Linked DNA regions of Yarrowia lipolytica. The protein of the gene in region 1 interacts with the protein of each later gene in a pairwise test. Links are inferred from orthologs where the notes say so. Each region holds a gene or a part of one and is shown on either strand. Other genes may lie near its edges.

What was found. The genes of interacting proteins can lie anywhere in the genome.
Region 2: the proteins of YALI1_B28053g (region 1) and YALI1_E26930g interact in binary tests that used the Saccharomyces cerevisiae proteins (3 or more experiments, as listed by UniProt). The link is inferred for Yarrowia lipolytica from reciprocal best matches to the Saccharomyces cerevisiae genes ROK1 and OSH3.

The regions. Positions count from the first base shown.
Region 1 is NC_090771.1:2,801,532-2,808,437, forward strand, and holds YALI1_B28053g (uncharacterized protein), read right to left. Parts: upstream 3,759-6,906; coding exon 2,115-3,758; downstream 1-2,114. Other genes in the region: YALI1_B28017g (uncharacterized protein), read right to left, coding at 1-196; YALI1_B28025g (uncharacterized protein), read left to right, coding at 1,013-1,118, 1,524-1,834; YALI1_B28084g (uncharacterized protein), read left to right, coding at 6,847-6,906. UniProt on the Saccharomyces cerevisiae protein: ATP-dependent RNA helicase involved in 40S ribosomal subunit biogenesis. Required for the processing and cleavage of 35S pre-rRNA at sites A0, A1, and A2, leading to mature 18S rRNA.
Region 2 is NC_090774.1:2,689,637-2,697,468, reverse strand, and holds YALI1_E26930g (uncharacterized protein), read right to left. Parts: upstream 4,438-7,832; coding exon 2,047-4,437; downstream 1-2,046. Other genes in the region: YALI1_E26971g (uncharacterized protein), read left to right, coding at 341-1,579; YALI1_E26916g (uncharacterized protein), read right to left, coding at 5,264-5,415, 5,685-5,847; YALI1_E26900g (uncharacterized protein), read right to left, coding at 6,264-7,357, 7,414-7,489. UniProt on the Saccharomyces cerevisiae protein: Lipid transport protein (LTP) involved in non-vesicular transfer of lipids between membranes.

The DNA of each region.
Region 1 (6,906 bases):
CGAAGAGCTTTGCGTGAAACATAGGAGTGTAACAGAGGTCCGCGCCATGTCGACGGGACAGAATTCGCCAGGCCAGCTCACTCTGATCAACCATGGGAGCCACAATGGTCTTGGGCTTGCCAAGTTTTTCAAACAGCTGACGGCCAGCCAGCTTTGTGGGGGCGGACGCGTCAGAGGAAGCAGAAGCAGCAGTCATGTGTAATAGTCGTGTGAAGCTGCGTAGGGGAAGTTGCGGGGCGAGGCGGAGAATTTTGTATATAGTGCCGTTTGGCTGGATATTGGCGATTTTTTCACCGTCTCAAACTTTTTAGGTTCTATGCATGATAGAGTTGACGAGATGAGATTGATCCGGAGGGAAGTTGCACAACAAAGAAGAGATAATTAGTTGACGGTAGGAGTAAGTAAATTATTAAAATGTTAGTTGAATATTGTGAAGCACCAGTTGGGGTATTTACTTACCATGTCAACTAAAGAGAGTTGGAACATTGGTGTTCAAGGCAGTTAACCGGAGGGCTAGCTTGAGATCTTACCCCTCGAGACAATCAGACTAATATCCTTGACGTTGTCACTTATAAACAGGCCATGCCCCATGTTTTTAATATGATAATTACGACAGCCCACTTGTACAGACCATTCACTGGGATGGACGTAATACTGATGACCCTACATACCAACCACAACACTTTTAGGACGTCCTCCACTAATAAAGTGCCTCCTTCGTTGTCCGCTTACGTAATTCGACCCCATCCACACAAATATCAACGCCAGTCGACAATGTCAGCAACTCTTTGTCATGCTGAAACCCAAACACCCATCATTCACCCTTCAAAACATCATTTTCTGACACCACACCATTCCAGCACCCGCGAAATACACTTACCCTAACCCTAAATTTCACAAACAGCTACCCGGCCCCGTGCATTCTGATTGGGCGAACCTCCCAACACTGCGGTAGAAAAACTCTTACATACACAAATCGTCTTGAGAAATCAGCACACCTAAACTACACACAATGTTCCGAAGCAGAGTTTCTGGCGTTTTCCAGCAGGTGCGATTCCAGTCCACCGCTGCCTCCAAGGCTGCCTCCAAGGCCCAGGGTCTCGGAGCCAAGGTCCAGGGTGAGTATTTCTCGAGCTAGGAGACTTTTCGATTTTCCGGCGATAACAAGCAACACAGCTGCGTATATGGGGGTCGGGGATGGACAAGTGCAAGGAGAGTGTGGCACGAGAGTGTCCTGTTTTGATTGGATGTGATTGTGGTGTTTACCGGTGCTACCAGATGGTGTTTCATCAGCTTGACGTGTCGGAAGTTGTGAACGACGACACTAGACACGTGATAGAGACGAGTACACTAGTGCGACATCGTTAGCAGTTCCAGTGTCATCAGCGGCCCACCTCATTGGAATCAATCTCGTTCAGTACTCCGATCAACACCCTATCCACTCCGGGAATCTGTATCTGTTCTACTCCTCGAATCATGCCACTACTCCAAGGCAGTCAACCCCCAACATTATACTAACTCAGGCATCACCAACTGTGCCGTCTACTGGGCCAAGGTCACCGGTGAGCTCGGAAAGCAGATCTACCTCAAGGAGGGCTTTGCTCCCCCCTCTCTTTCTCAGTTCCAGTCTGTCTACCAGAACCTGTTCAACTCCGTCAAGTCTTACGCCCTCAAGCCCCAGAAGGTCATTGACTGTGCTGAGTCCATCACCAAGACTGACGCTCTCCGATACACTGCCTACGGTGTCCAGATCCTCGGTCTCTTCACCCTCGGTGAGGTTATCGGCCGACGAAACGTCATTGGCTACAAGGTCCCCTCTGCTGACAAGCACTAAATTGGACATTAGAAATCCGATTAACATGTAATTTAAAACTGACGCTTTGCGTTTCTATTGAATTGTTCCTGAGTGGTTTTAACGGTGTCGTTTTTCCAGTATCTGACCTATATACTTGTAACAGCTAATTATCTGCCTGTGTGTATGGCTTGCATCGTATGGAAAGTGAAGGGCGTACAGACACAGATCGCACGTCAGCTTTAATACATCTCTACGACAGCTCGCTCCATTTATCTGATGTACATTAGTCTATAGCATGGCCTAGGCGGTCCACAATAACTTATTCGTCGTCCTTCTTCATCTTCTTGAGACCCTTCATCTGCTGTTTGGCCCGCTTCTTCTTGTTGTTAGCCAGAGCATGTTGAGTAGAGATCTTCTTTCGTTTGATGGGTCTGTTTTTGATGTTGTCTCGCTCCTTCTGAGTCAGGGGAGCGAGGTTGTTGAGCCAGTCGGGTACCTCCTGTCCAGACTGCTTCATGACATTGACTACCACCTTGACATTGGTAGCGTCCTCCTTGGTGAAGAAGGTGACGGCCTTGCCGAGTCGGCCAGCTCGACCGGTTCGTCCGATTCGATGCACGTAAGACTGTGCAGACTGGGGTACATCGTAGTTGATGACCAGGTTGATGCCTCGGAAATCGATACCTCGGGCCAGAACGTCGGTACAGATTAGCACCCAGACTTCTCCGTTTCGGAAACGGTCGATGACGGAAGCTCGCTTGGCCGCAGTCATGTCTCCATGGATCTGGTCGACGTTGATTCCGTCGAAAACCAGCTCCTTGAACAGTGCCTTGGCTCGGTCGATGGACTGCAGGAAGATGATGACAGGGGCCACAAGCTGACCCTCTCGGGCCATTTGTCGGATAGCCACAAGCTTACCTTCCTCGTTTCCAGCATACACCAGCTTCTGCTCAACGGTCTGGGCAGCAGCCTGCTTGTTACCGATAATGATACGTAGAGGGTCGGTGCTCATGATACTGTTTGCCAGCTGCTCGACAGAGGCAGGAATGGTTGCGGAGAACAGAGTCTTCTGAATACCCGAGGGGCATGCTGCCAGAATGTCATCGACCTGGGTGGCAAAGCCCTTCTCAAACAGCTTGTCGGCCTCATCGAAGATGACCAGATCCAGGGATCCAAGGTCCAGGCTGCCGTCGTTGAGGGCGGAGACCAGTCTCAGGGGGGTGGTAATGCAAATGTCGTATTTCTGGGAGCTGACTTTTCCGTTTCGCAGCTTGTCGGCCGTGCTCTTGTCCAGCAAGCAGGGTTTCAGCTCGTCCTTCTTTTTTCCAACACCCACGCAGAGCGAGAACACAGCGTTGAAGATCTGAGACGCCAGCTCCTTGGTGGGGGCAACCACCAGTGCCTTGATTCCCTTCTTAGCGTCCTTGGAGCCCTTCTTCTTACCCAGCATCTCCACCATGGGGATGCTGTAGGCCATAGTCTTACCGGAACCAGTTGGAGCACAGGCAATCAGATCTCGGCCGTTCAGCATTGTAGGGATACTCTCGCACTGGATCGGGGTAGGGTCTGTGTACTTGTTCTTCTTGAGGTTGGCCAGAAGATAGGGATGCAAGTTGAATCGAGTGATGAGGTCTTCAAACGACCCAATGGGCAGAGGGGAGTCTTCTCCGGTGATGTTGATCTTGTGCTTGTTTCGGAAAACCACAGCCTCCTCGGGAGTACTGATAATGGGCGGGGGAGCCTCTTCCTCCTCTTCATTGTCCAGCTCAGCCTCCTCAGCTACTCGCTTCTTGGAGTAAGTGTCTGTCTTGGTCTTGAAAAAGTCGGTTTCTCGGGCAACTTCAATGTCGACATTGTCCTGGGTGTCTTTGGGAGCAGCGTGGTTGAGCAGAGTCAGGTCCTTCCTGTGTTTACCGTTTCGCTGGATCGTGGCTCCTCGAGATAGTACTTTGAAGATATCCATGGTGTATGTGGTGAGTGGTAATGTATTTTCACCTGAAAACGATGCTCATGCACTCTCGAGATTTTTTTGTATAAGGTTGGGAGGTGAAACTTAAAACGGCCTATCCTCGCTGAGTAAGTGTTGGGGACTACGGTGGCGAGTATTAGGCGGATTTATTAAGAGAGTACGTAGTTATCAAAAGTGTTTAGTTTCGGCAAATTCTGCATTGTATTATGTGAGCGTTTCTTATCTGCATGTGATATTTTCCAAGTATACGCGATTGCAACTAACAAACCTCCCTGCAGTTATCTGCAAAGGACTTCACTTTTACTTGTAGTTACTTCTCTCAACAAGCCTTCAAGTGAATTACAGTAACGTAACCAATAGCTGGCCTACAGCTACAGTAAGAATCACATTCTTCTAGACCTGCGCCAACGAGATCACGCCACTTTTCCTCTAACCGAGGCTACAGACCCCCGCGGTATCTAACGGCACCAATAGCCGATATCGTCCTTGAAAACCCCTGGTGGACACTTCGTTTTAAACCCTTCTACTCGGGTGGGCTAAAGGCTACAAGATAAGCTAATATAACGGTTACAGAATTGGATCCGAACATTTTACGGGCTCGACAAATGAAAATATTAAATGTACAACATTCCAATTGATGCTATACGGAGTGGGATGCGATAGTCGTCAACTTTGGGATTGTGGGGGCGCGCACCAGCACCTTCTTGGCTCATTTTTCATATATTATTCCTCTATACGGGGCTGATAGACCCTAATGAGTCATATAAGATAGCAGAGCTCTTATGATAGAGCGTTGGATAGCTTGTCTATCGGTTTTCATTAGTAGAATTGTCACGAACACTGTAAAGGCCTCTCTCTACTGCCACAGGGAAATATAACTGCAACAGCTGTAACAAGTCTGCGATCGAATGTCAACTTAGAAGGTAACCCTGTTCGACCCCTTGCGGCCAGTTGAGTTGATTTGAAGCGTATGTTCGAGGACGAGGAGCGGCTGTACAGTACAACTAGTTATACAAGTACTTGTACTCCTCTTCAACCCTTGTCATTGTACAGAGTTATTGTCACTGGGCTGGCAGGCGGTCGGAGACTAAGAAATTATTGTGTGCCAGTCCAGACTATGAGGCTCCTATTTTGAGCTCACAGACTGAGAGACTATTATCAAGTCTGACCAACTAAAAATAGACACAAACTAACTTGAGACCGCCGACCTAGTGGAGCAGCCTCTGATCTTCGTTGTGTAACTTATCCTCCTCAAGATGCTACATTGATTCTGGAAATTAGGGGCCACAGCGCGGTTATGTGGACACCATCTGACAGACACTCCGGAATTTGCACGTGGCGGCAAATCTCGTGTTTTCAAGCAAACTTCTGCACGCTACCGTTGTTCTCTGGTCAACGTTCGTGTTTCATACTGGGCTGTCAGATGGGCTCTATGTTGCCTATTGTACCGTCTTGGAGCTGTCAAACAAATTAGCACTCTTTAGAGGTGTGCTTGTGCGAGCTAGCAGGACAAGGACCGGGGATGATAGCACTATGCTAGTGGGGAGCTCTTTTGTCGGTGATTTGTGTCTACCATACCCATAACAAGCTGGTGCAGTGTCAAAATGGTTTTGGTCTGTGGAAAGCTCCTTGTGTAGGTAAGATTAACCGATTTAAAGGAAGCCTAAAAGTCGGACTACGATGGCCGTGGCGTTCCCCTTCTAAGCCATAAAACCATCCTCTGGACATTCCAGCATTTTCTAATATCATGTAGAGTGCGCCTTGTTCTTGTTTGGGCAAAAGCACAAGGCAAATTGCCTTGGGCGACTTGCGACTCTCCGCTATCTCCAACTGCAGATGTTATGCTGAGGCCTAACTCTGTGGGTGGTATCCCAGATCCTTTCCGAGAGATTAAGTTGGGTTAATCTTTTGTCTTTTGGCAGGGTAATAATGTATACCTGTATGGCGCTCCTCGAGAGAGGCGATCTTCTCGTTAGTTACTCTACCTCATCTTGCTGGTCGAGGTGGGGTGATCCAGAAAAAGAAAGGTTGGCAAATAACTACAGGCAGCAGTGTTTTCACAAACCAAGGAGCAATAAAAAAACGGCCTTCTGCGGCCTAAAACCACCCGTCTTGTTGTTTTAGCACAACCGCCACAGAGCCTGGACTTCCAGGAACTAGCACAAGCACCATACTAAAACACTGGTGCCGTTTTACCAGTACATCAAACACGTCTAAGCGAAGTGGAGGAATGACGAGAAAGGAAGTAATTTTGCCGCTTCGGGCAACTCTCGAGGGTCAACCATATAGGTCGCATGAGAGGCGTTGAATTTTGGCCCTCCACTAGCCCAACTGTCGCACCGCTTAAACTCTCGTATCCAAGACGGTGGAGACGGTTTTTCGCTAGACGGCACGCACAAAGAAAACGGGAGCTGGTTGAAAAATATTTATTATACACACTTTTTGGAGCTTTGTCCTAGTGAGAGAGAAACGCGTCGAGGCATTTCCTTGTCCAAAGGAACGAGACATCAACGTCAGACAGACATTATGGCACAGCTCAGTGGAGACGGTCCCGTATCAAACCTCCTTAATTTTATGTGCATCGGTCGATACTAAGTGCCGATCCCGAAGGTGGAGAAATCAACTTCAACGCTGCCATGCAGGGGTGGTTGAACCACGAAAGCAAATAAAAAGCACGTACAAACGTACCGTACAAACAAGCCCACACAAACATGCCATGTCCATGGTTTGAGACAGTCTTGAGTGATAGGCATTTATTGCTGAGCAGGTAATAAGAGACGTGTGGACTGTAAAGAGAGAACCGACGCCGCCCTTTCTTTGTCCTCCACACTAACATCGTACAGCACTAGCTCCCCTCGATGGACCTTGTACTGGTTTGTTTTGCACAGCTTGTCTTGACTGAGTTTGTCACCCCTCAAAAGCTCCCAAGTTTTGTGCTGAACGTCTTGGGTCGTATACACCGGATATGTAGACCCTTGGCGATGAGTAAATGTATACACGCTTGTGGATATATCGGTCTGTGCCTGTAAGCTGGTGGGGGTTGTCATTATAATATTTTGCCCCGTAATATTCTCCCTGAAATATGAACAACTATTATTATTTCGTCAACGTGAAAATCCGAAATTGTCTCACTCAATTGAAG
Region 2 (7,832 bases), on another chromosome or scaffold:
AACGATGGTAAACAGAGCATGTCACGTGTTATCGATCGATTATCGTAGTCCGAGCACTTGGCGGTCCATATATCGACACTTTGCCCCCCCCCCCCCACGCAAGGTGGTTGTATCTGTTCTTGGACGTGACACGGGCTTGTTGCTCAGGAATAACTTTACTAAAAAACTGCAGTGCATTGTTTGAGGTAACGTGACCTAACATCATCTCGTTTTACCCGTTTGGGAAGCCAAAATTTTAGGGGAAAGATAAGTGGTTGATAAGGAAGAGCGCTCCCACATTCTCAAGCAAGGACAGCAAATGGCACAGTGAAGATTCGCAACTACTTCTACACAGACACAAATGCTACACGAGACTCATCCTTCGCCCGACTATACCAGTATGGGCTCTCAAAGTCGACGCCAGTCTCACAACGGAGGATCGGTTCTGGAGTTGCGACCCACGCTTTCCGGCTCCAGTGGAATCATTGATGAATTCGACGCGTCCGCCAAAAAACATAACAAGAAGAGCCGCGCGCTAAGACGCCGTCGGTGGCGAGTGGGTCTGATTCTGCTGGGATTGGTGGTGCTTTTGTGGGTGGCTTCTGGCTTTCTGGTCAACTCGATCTTCTCCACAGGAGAGTACCCCAAGCCCTACTTCCTCACATATATGAACACTGCGGTTTTCAGCGTTTATTTGATTCCCACCATGTTCCGCAAGGTGCGCGGCAACAAAACAGCGACCCCCGAGTACTCGGTCATTGATGAAAACTCGGACGAGTCGCCCAAACTCACTCCGTTCAAGTCCGTGGAACAACTCACAGGACAGGACGAGGACGAGCTACTGAGCACCAAACAGACGGCCATTCTCTCGCTCCAGTTTTGCATACTCTGGTTCTTCTCCAACTTCCTCACAAACGCCTCTCTCAAATACACTAGCGTCAGCTCGCAGACAATTCTGTCATGCACGTCAAGCTTTTTCACCCTGGTGATTGGATCTGCATTCGGCGTCGAGGCCTTCACAGCCACCAAGCTTCTGGCCCTGGTGTTCAGCATGTGCGGCGTGTTTCTCGTCTCCAAGGCCGATTCCGTCGCTACTCAGACCAGAATGGGTGTCCAGACCAGCGACATTGTTTTTGGGGATCTTCTGGCGCTGGCTGGAGCGGTGGTTTACGGGTTCTACATGACACTGCTCAAGGTTAAGGTCGGGGACGAGTCTCGAATCAACACAAAGATGTTTTTGGGCTTTGTGGGTCTGTTCAACATTCTCCTGTTGTGGCCCACCATCCCTCTTTTGGACTACCTTGGAGTGGAGAAGTTTGGTCTGCCCCAAACGGAGAAAGTGTGGCTCATAGTGCTGGCCAACGCCGCTGCTACTCTGGTGTCCGACTTTTTCTGGGTGCTGGCCATGCTCATGACCTCGCCGCTGGTGGTCACCGTCGGCCTAGGGGCCACCGTGCCTCTGGCCATGGCAGGCGACCTGTTTATCAAACGGTCGCTGCCCTCACTAACATACGTTTTTGGCGCTATTATTCTGTGTCTGTCCTTTGTCGTCATCAATAGACAAGACGAGGACGAGTTGATGGACGACGATGAAGAGTAGTGCTAGCATGATTGCATTTATTTATTAATTTTATGACCTGAAACCTGAGGTGGTTGCAAGTACCAGCACACTGTAGATCGAACGAACTTGCGGGACATAGCCTTCAAGCTTGATATTGATAGAGATAAGACAACAAAGTGTATCGAAATGAGAGTCCTGCCAAGAAGCATATCGCACGAGTCGTGTGATCGAGATGCCTCGATTGTGCTCTCAATGCAGGGGTTAACGAGTGAGTTGAATACTCATGTCGAACACGCAGTGTTACCTGGAAGTTGTTATAGAAGTGTTACCGGAGTAACAACAACAGGCATGGAGCTCTTTAGTAGATGGGCACATGCCACTTGCCCCTTGGAAACAACATATAAATCCCAATTTTTTTACTTGTAGCAACACAATCGCTATAGTTCCACTCTGCTTATCAAAATCATATCTCATTGGTAAATAGTCTACATGTCTAAACTACCAGCCTACCACAAAGGAGTAAGACCCTCCCAGTTGCCCTGCTTTCGTCGGTTCCAGTAGTTGTTGGGACCCTTGGTAAGCAGGTACAGATCGCCCTGCTCGTTGACTCCGTCCAAACCAGACGACTTTTCGAAAAAGGTGGGCTTGTACGTCTTACCCGAGTCCTGTAGCACCTTTCGTCGCTCCCGCTGCTTCTCCTCCAGCTCCTGTTTGCCGGCCTCGGCCTTGTCGGTCTGGCCAGCCTCGTACTCCTTCTGGTCGGGTCGGAACCGCGAGTCGTAAGGGGAAGCGTGTCCTTTTTCGATGGGGGTGACCTCGTTGAGACCGGCGGTGAACTCGGTGAAACCCCACTTCTTGGTGTGGTTGTTGACGAGGTTGCCGACCTTCCAGATGGTCTTCTTCTGACCCTTGGCGTTGTTGAGGGTGATCTGCTCGGTCCACTTACCGGAGGCGAAGCAGGGCAGGTTAGAACCATTAGCTGAAACAGCCTTGATGTTGAGCTCTTCGCTTCGACCGGAGAACATTCCTCCGGCCTTGAACTCGACAATGGCCTTCTCTCCGGTGGAAGAGAAGATGGTGAAGTCGCCAACAGGCTCGGTGTACTTCTCACCAGCCATGATGTTTCGCAGGTACGTGGTGGGGTTGCTCCAGTGGAAAACCTCGCCGGACTGTCGGAACTTAACGACGATAGGGCCCAGGTAGTTAATTTCCATCGACTTACCCCAGAACTTCTGCACGGGCTCAGACGAGTGGGCCACAGACCAGCCATGCTCGGAGTCTACATGCAGAGCCATAACGGGAGGGTGATGACACACTTTTTCAGAGATGAGTCTGTAACCGAGATCGGGTCGAACCAGCTCATAGGTCTCTCCAAGAAGAGGGTTGAAAGGCTTTCGGAGAGCGCGCTCCTTAGCTCGCATGGAGGCGAGGTAGGAGACAGCCCAGGTGGCCACGTAGATGATTCGCTCTCCGTCATTGGCAGGCACGTTTTCAGCCTCGTCCAGCAGCTGGGGGTACTCGAACATCTCGGCGAATCTCTGTAGAGCAGAAATAGGCTCGTTGGTGGTGATGGGGACGGCCATGGAGCCCATATCCTTGCCGACACTCTTCTTGAGGATACCCAACATGGAAGGGGGGGTGGAAGCAGCATCAGGAAGAGTGACTCGGTGCTTGACCGGCTGAACCTCATGCAGTGGGTACAGATCATCAGCGTCATCAGCATCATGGACAACAGGAGCAACATGGTGTCCCTCGTCCTCCTCGTCTGTGGAGTCGTGCTCAGCTCCGTCGTCATCGTCGTCAACAGCGTCGTCGTCCAGGAACACAACTCCGTCCTTGTCGGGGTTCTCCTCAGCGTCGTAGAAAGTGTCATGCTCGGACATGATGGAGCCGTTAAAGGACGCTCGCTTGGCCATGGGCTGTGAGTACATGGCGCTCTCATGAGCAACATGGGACACCACGTCGGTGAACTCGAGATACAGCGCTGCTAGGCGCGCATTGAGGTCCTTGGTCACGTTGGAAGCGCCGGGCTCCTGAGCAGCCACATCGGAAATATCCTTGGTCTCTCGTAGCTTGGCCACAAGCTGAGCAAACTTCTCCTGGTCAGGTGCGGTCACAGCAGCGACTGCGGGAACAGGTTCGTCAGCAGCACCTCCGCTCTTGCCCTTTCTGATCCGCTCAAAGGTGTCGACCCAGATCTGCCAGTCGGCGTCGTTGAGGGCCTTGAGGTTCCACACCTCCATACCCGAGTCCACAAAGATGAGTCTCTGGGCCTTGGAGGCAGAGATGGCACACAAGGTCAGGGGCAGAGAGCCTCGCAACGAGTTGGACTTGGGGTCTGTGTAGTAATTGAGAATGGCCAGCTTGAGATCCAGAACAAAGTACCGTCGGGTGTATCCCTGGAGCTTCTTTCGTCGCTTTTTGAGCAGGATACCGGATACGGCGGTCTCGGAGACAAGGGTATGGGGAGCATTGTTAGCCGCATGTCCCTCTTCCATGGCCTGGACAGTGAAATGGACGGTTTTGGGTGTGGTTTTGGAGAAGGTGTTGTCGAACACAAGGGCGTAGATGCCTCCCTTTCCCTTGGGGACCTTGTAGACTCCCTCGGACTGTTCGTTGGCGTTGCACTTTTTGAGCGGCAGAACAGGGGACAATCCGCTTGATTCAAGTCGTTTTTCGATGGTTCCCGAGTGGGGAGCCGAGATGGAGGCTCGTCGGCCGGCATTGTGTCCTTCAGCCTCGATTTCGACCTGCAAGTTGTTGCTCCGCTCCTTCTCGAAGATGCCCACGTTGATGGACTTTTTCAGGGGGTGAACTTTGAAGGTGATGGCGGAGCCCTCGGGGGCAGTGACCCACTTGATGACAAACGACCGCGAGGCCACTTCGATGGTTTCCATGGCGAGACGGGTTGCAATATGGATTCGGTGGTTAGTTTGAAGGAGCGATTATGTCCTCGACATTATATTGCGGGTTTCAAAGTCTAATTACTGGTTTGCATGGCACATGCTGTTTGCAGGTGATAAACTGGGGATGTGGTGGGGGCTTAGTTAGAGACCATGTGTTGAGTGACGGGCCCTGTGGGATGAACAGTACCACGACTGTGCTGCCGTTGCAGGCGAAGTGGCTTCTACATTTTAGCCAGGGCGATTACACTCACAATGTGACTACTGGAGCTGTACTTATTCCCCACCATCCCGCCAACAAGTGCCATAGTCCAACGAATACGGCCCTCGTGTTCGGGGCTTGTCAGGCTCGGTAACCCAACAAAGCAACTCTATTTGAGCGGGGGTACACCGAAGAGTCTCTTTTTGGCTTTTTGTCTGAATGTGAATATCAGGAACATAAAAGTGACGTAATTCACACGTCTACGACTTGATACAATGACATGGGGTGGGTTCACAATGCAACTGTCAGCGAACCCAGCATTGTCTCACCCGAACACGCAAGGGGCCTCTCTTCTCCACACCTGCAGAAGCGGCTCGAAATAAAGAGATGATAATAATCGACACGGGAATAAATATTAGACGTGCTGTAAATCCGATTCTCTCAACTCCGACTGGAGCTGCATGCAATGGATCGACCTCTGAGCAGCCGTTAGCTTAGACTGCTGCTGTCTGAGGAAGTGTCCACACAGCCATACAGAAAAGCATATATTCTGGGAAATGGCTTGTGGCTCTTTTCCCCGCAGACCAGGGCATGTGAGACTACAATTGTAGGACTCACTCAGACCATGGAGTTGATGCGAGCAAGCCGCGATTCCACCGCCGCAAGCGTCTTGTTGACGCTCTCCAGACGGGCCTCTGCATCCCGGATCTGTGCAGATATGCTAGACACCGCCACCAGGTCCTTGGTGGTTTCCTGGTAGTGTTTTAGAGCTGTGTTAGTGGGAATGAGGGCCCAAGGTCCGATTGGACAATGCCCCATAACGGGTAAGTCATGTCGTATCTTATCGTATCGTATCGTGCTTGCCACAATCACGGTTAGCATTCGATAATTGGTCTGCACGGGCCGCATTGTTGCAAAGGGCGTCGCCATGGTGTCCCTCACTGAATAACCCTGCTCTTGATTGTAAACCACCCCCATGGTACAGTATTGTCAGAAACCACACAACCAAGCCTCTGTCCATGCATCACACCACACTCACATATGCTTAGGCCATGTAACACGGTGGAGAGCACCACCTGGGACTCGTGGATGGCGCGGATTTTCCAGGCTGTTGTGTCGATGGCCGGGTTCAGCGTGTTCTGAACCACCGTGTCCATGTCGCTGCGTAGTGACGCCAAGGCTTCCTCGTTTTCGAGAGACATTGTGTGTGCTAGTAAGTAGAGACAGGAATGATGAATTCGAGTGGTAAATTAATTAGAGATCGCGTACGTAGTGCTGTTAAGCCCTTACCCATGTCGTGCACCATCGCTGCTATCTGATGTTGGGGAGAACAGGAGATAGATATGGAAAATGACTCACGACTGAATAGAAAATGAATATCAGTTGCGACTCTGTGGTTTCATACACAATAACGCAGTTTTGTTGCATTGTTCCATGACCCGCCTTATCGTCGCTTTAGTTAGCTTTACTTGATCTTTGGTCAGCTTACTTGAATCTACAAGCAAGTAGTTTGGACCCACGCACCATAGGAGCCTTTGATCAGTACTCGTTACGACACCTAACAACTGCTTTAAAACAGCTTTGACAGTATTAATACATCCAAAATTCGCTATATACATTATTCCTGGACCTCGAGATCCTTGATGGACTCCTCTCTAAAATGGTCCTCCAGAGCCTCCAACACTGCATCCAGCTTCTTGCCCGACATGACCACGTCCAAGTTACCGCTGTACCCACATCGATGGTCCGTGACTCGGTTCTGATGGAAGTTGTATGTTCGGATCTTGTCAGATCGGTCGGTGGCAGACACCTGGCTGGTTCTTGCGTTCTTGCTCTTTGCAGCCTGTTCGCGTCGCTTCTGTTCAGCCAGACGGCCTCGGAGAATCATAAAGGCCATCTCCTTGTTCTGGCGTTGTGACCGCGAGTTCTGCATCACAACCATTGTCTTGGTGGGGATATGAACCAGTCGAACGGCCGACTCGGTCTTGTTAACATGCTGTCCTCCGGCTCCCTGAGCTCGCATGACATCGATTCGCACCTCGCCAGGAGCAAACTGAATGTCATCAGCAGCAACGGAACTCTCTGATATCTGGGGCAAAACGATAACAGCGGCAGCAGATGTGTGGACTCGTCCAGAAGACTCGGTGACAGGAACCCGCTGGACTCGATGAACTCCTCCCTCATGCTGAAGCATGTTGTAACTTCCCTCTCCGTCTACTGAAAGGATGACTTCAGTAATGCCACCCTTGTCGTTACGAGTCACGTTAGTGATCTGGTACGGCCAGCCCATCTCGTCGGCATAGCCAGTGTACATGTTCAGCAGGTTGTCGGTAAACAAACAGGCCTCTTCTCCTCCAATACCAGGGCGCATCTCGATGATACAGCCGATGTCGCCGTAAGGATGTGTGGGCAGAAGCAAAGTCTCGAGCTTCTTGATAGCCTTCTCAGCCTCAGCCTCGACGGTGGGGATCTCATCTTCAGCATCCTTTTTCAGCTCGGGATCATCGCACATGCTCATGAGCTCGTCGTACTGCACAATCGAGTTTCTGTACGAGTCCAGCTCGTGCGTCACCTGACCAAGCAAGTTGATTTTCGCAATGAGCTTCTTGTCCTTGAACTGGTCCTCGTTAGGGCTCGCCTGAAGAGCCTCGTACTCCTTGTTCATACTCTCTGCCTTGCCAAGCAGGATCGGATGCAGTTTTCGGACCGATGCTGGGTTAGTGGGGCTGTCTTGGGGTGTGGGAAGACACGTAAAAGAACACACTCACTGATGCTGGTGGTGTGGAACAGCCGGACAGACCGCTGCGCCATCCATGGTGCTTTCAACGCCCATCGCAGTTGCATGTTGGTATGATGAATATTCAGAGGTGAAATTTATAAACTTAAAAGTGAGAGAAAGAGAAGCGGGCAAGGAGGGAGTCGTGAAGTTGGTATTCGAGTTGACATATAGAATAGATATATATTGGGTTCGTGTTAGGTACTATTTTTCATTAGATTTCACTTTCAAGCTGTCTATTTCGTGGAGTAAAGAGGGAGTTGGGGGTTTCACGAAAGACTCCACAATATAGTAAGTATCAAGAAGCTTTCCCAACTAAAGCTGAGTACATCAAGGGCATGTTCAAATACCGATATCATTACATTATTGGCTGTTGGTTGGCCGGAGAACACTATCAATTGATTCACTAGC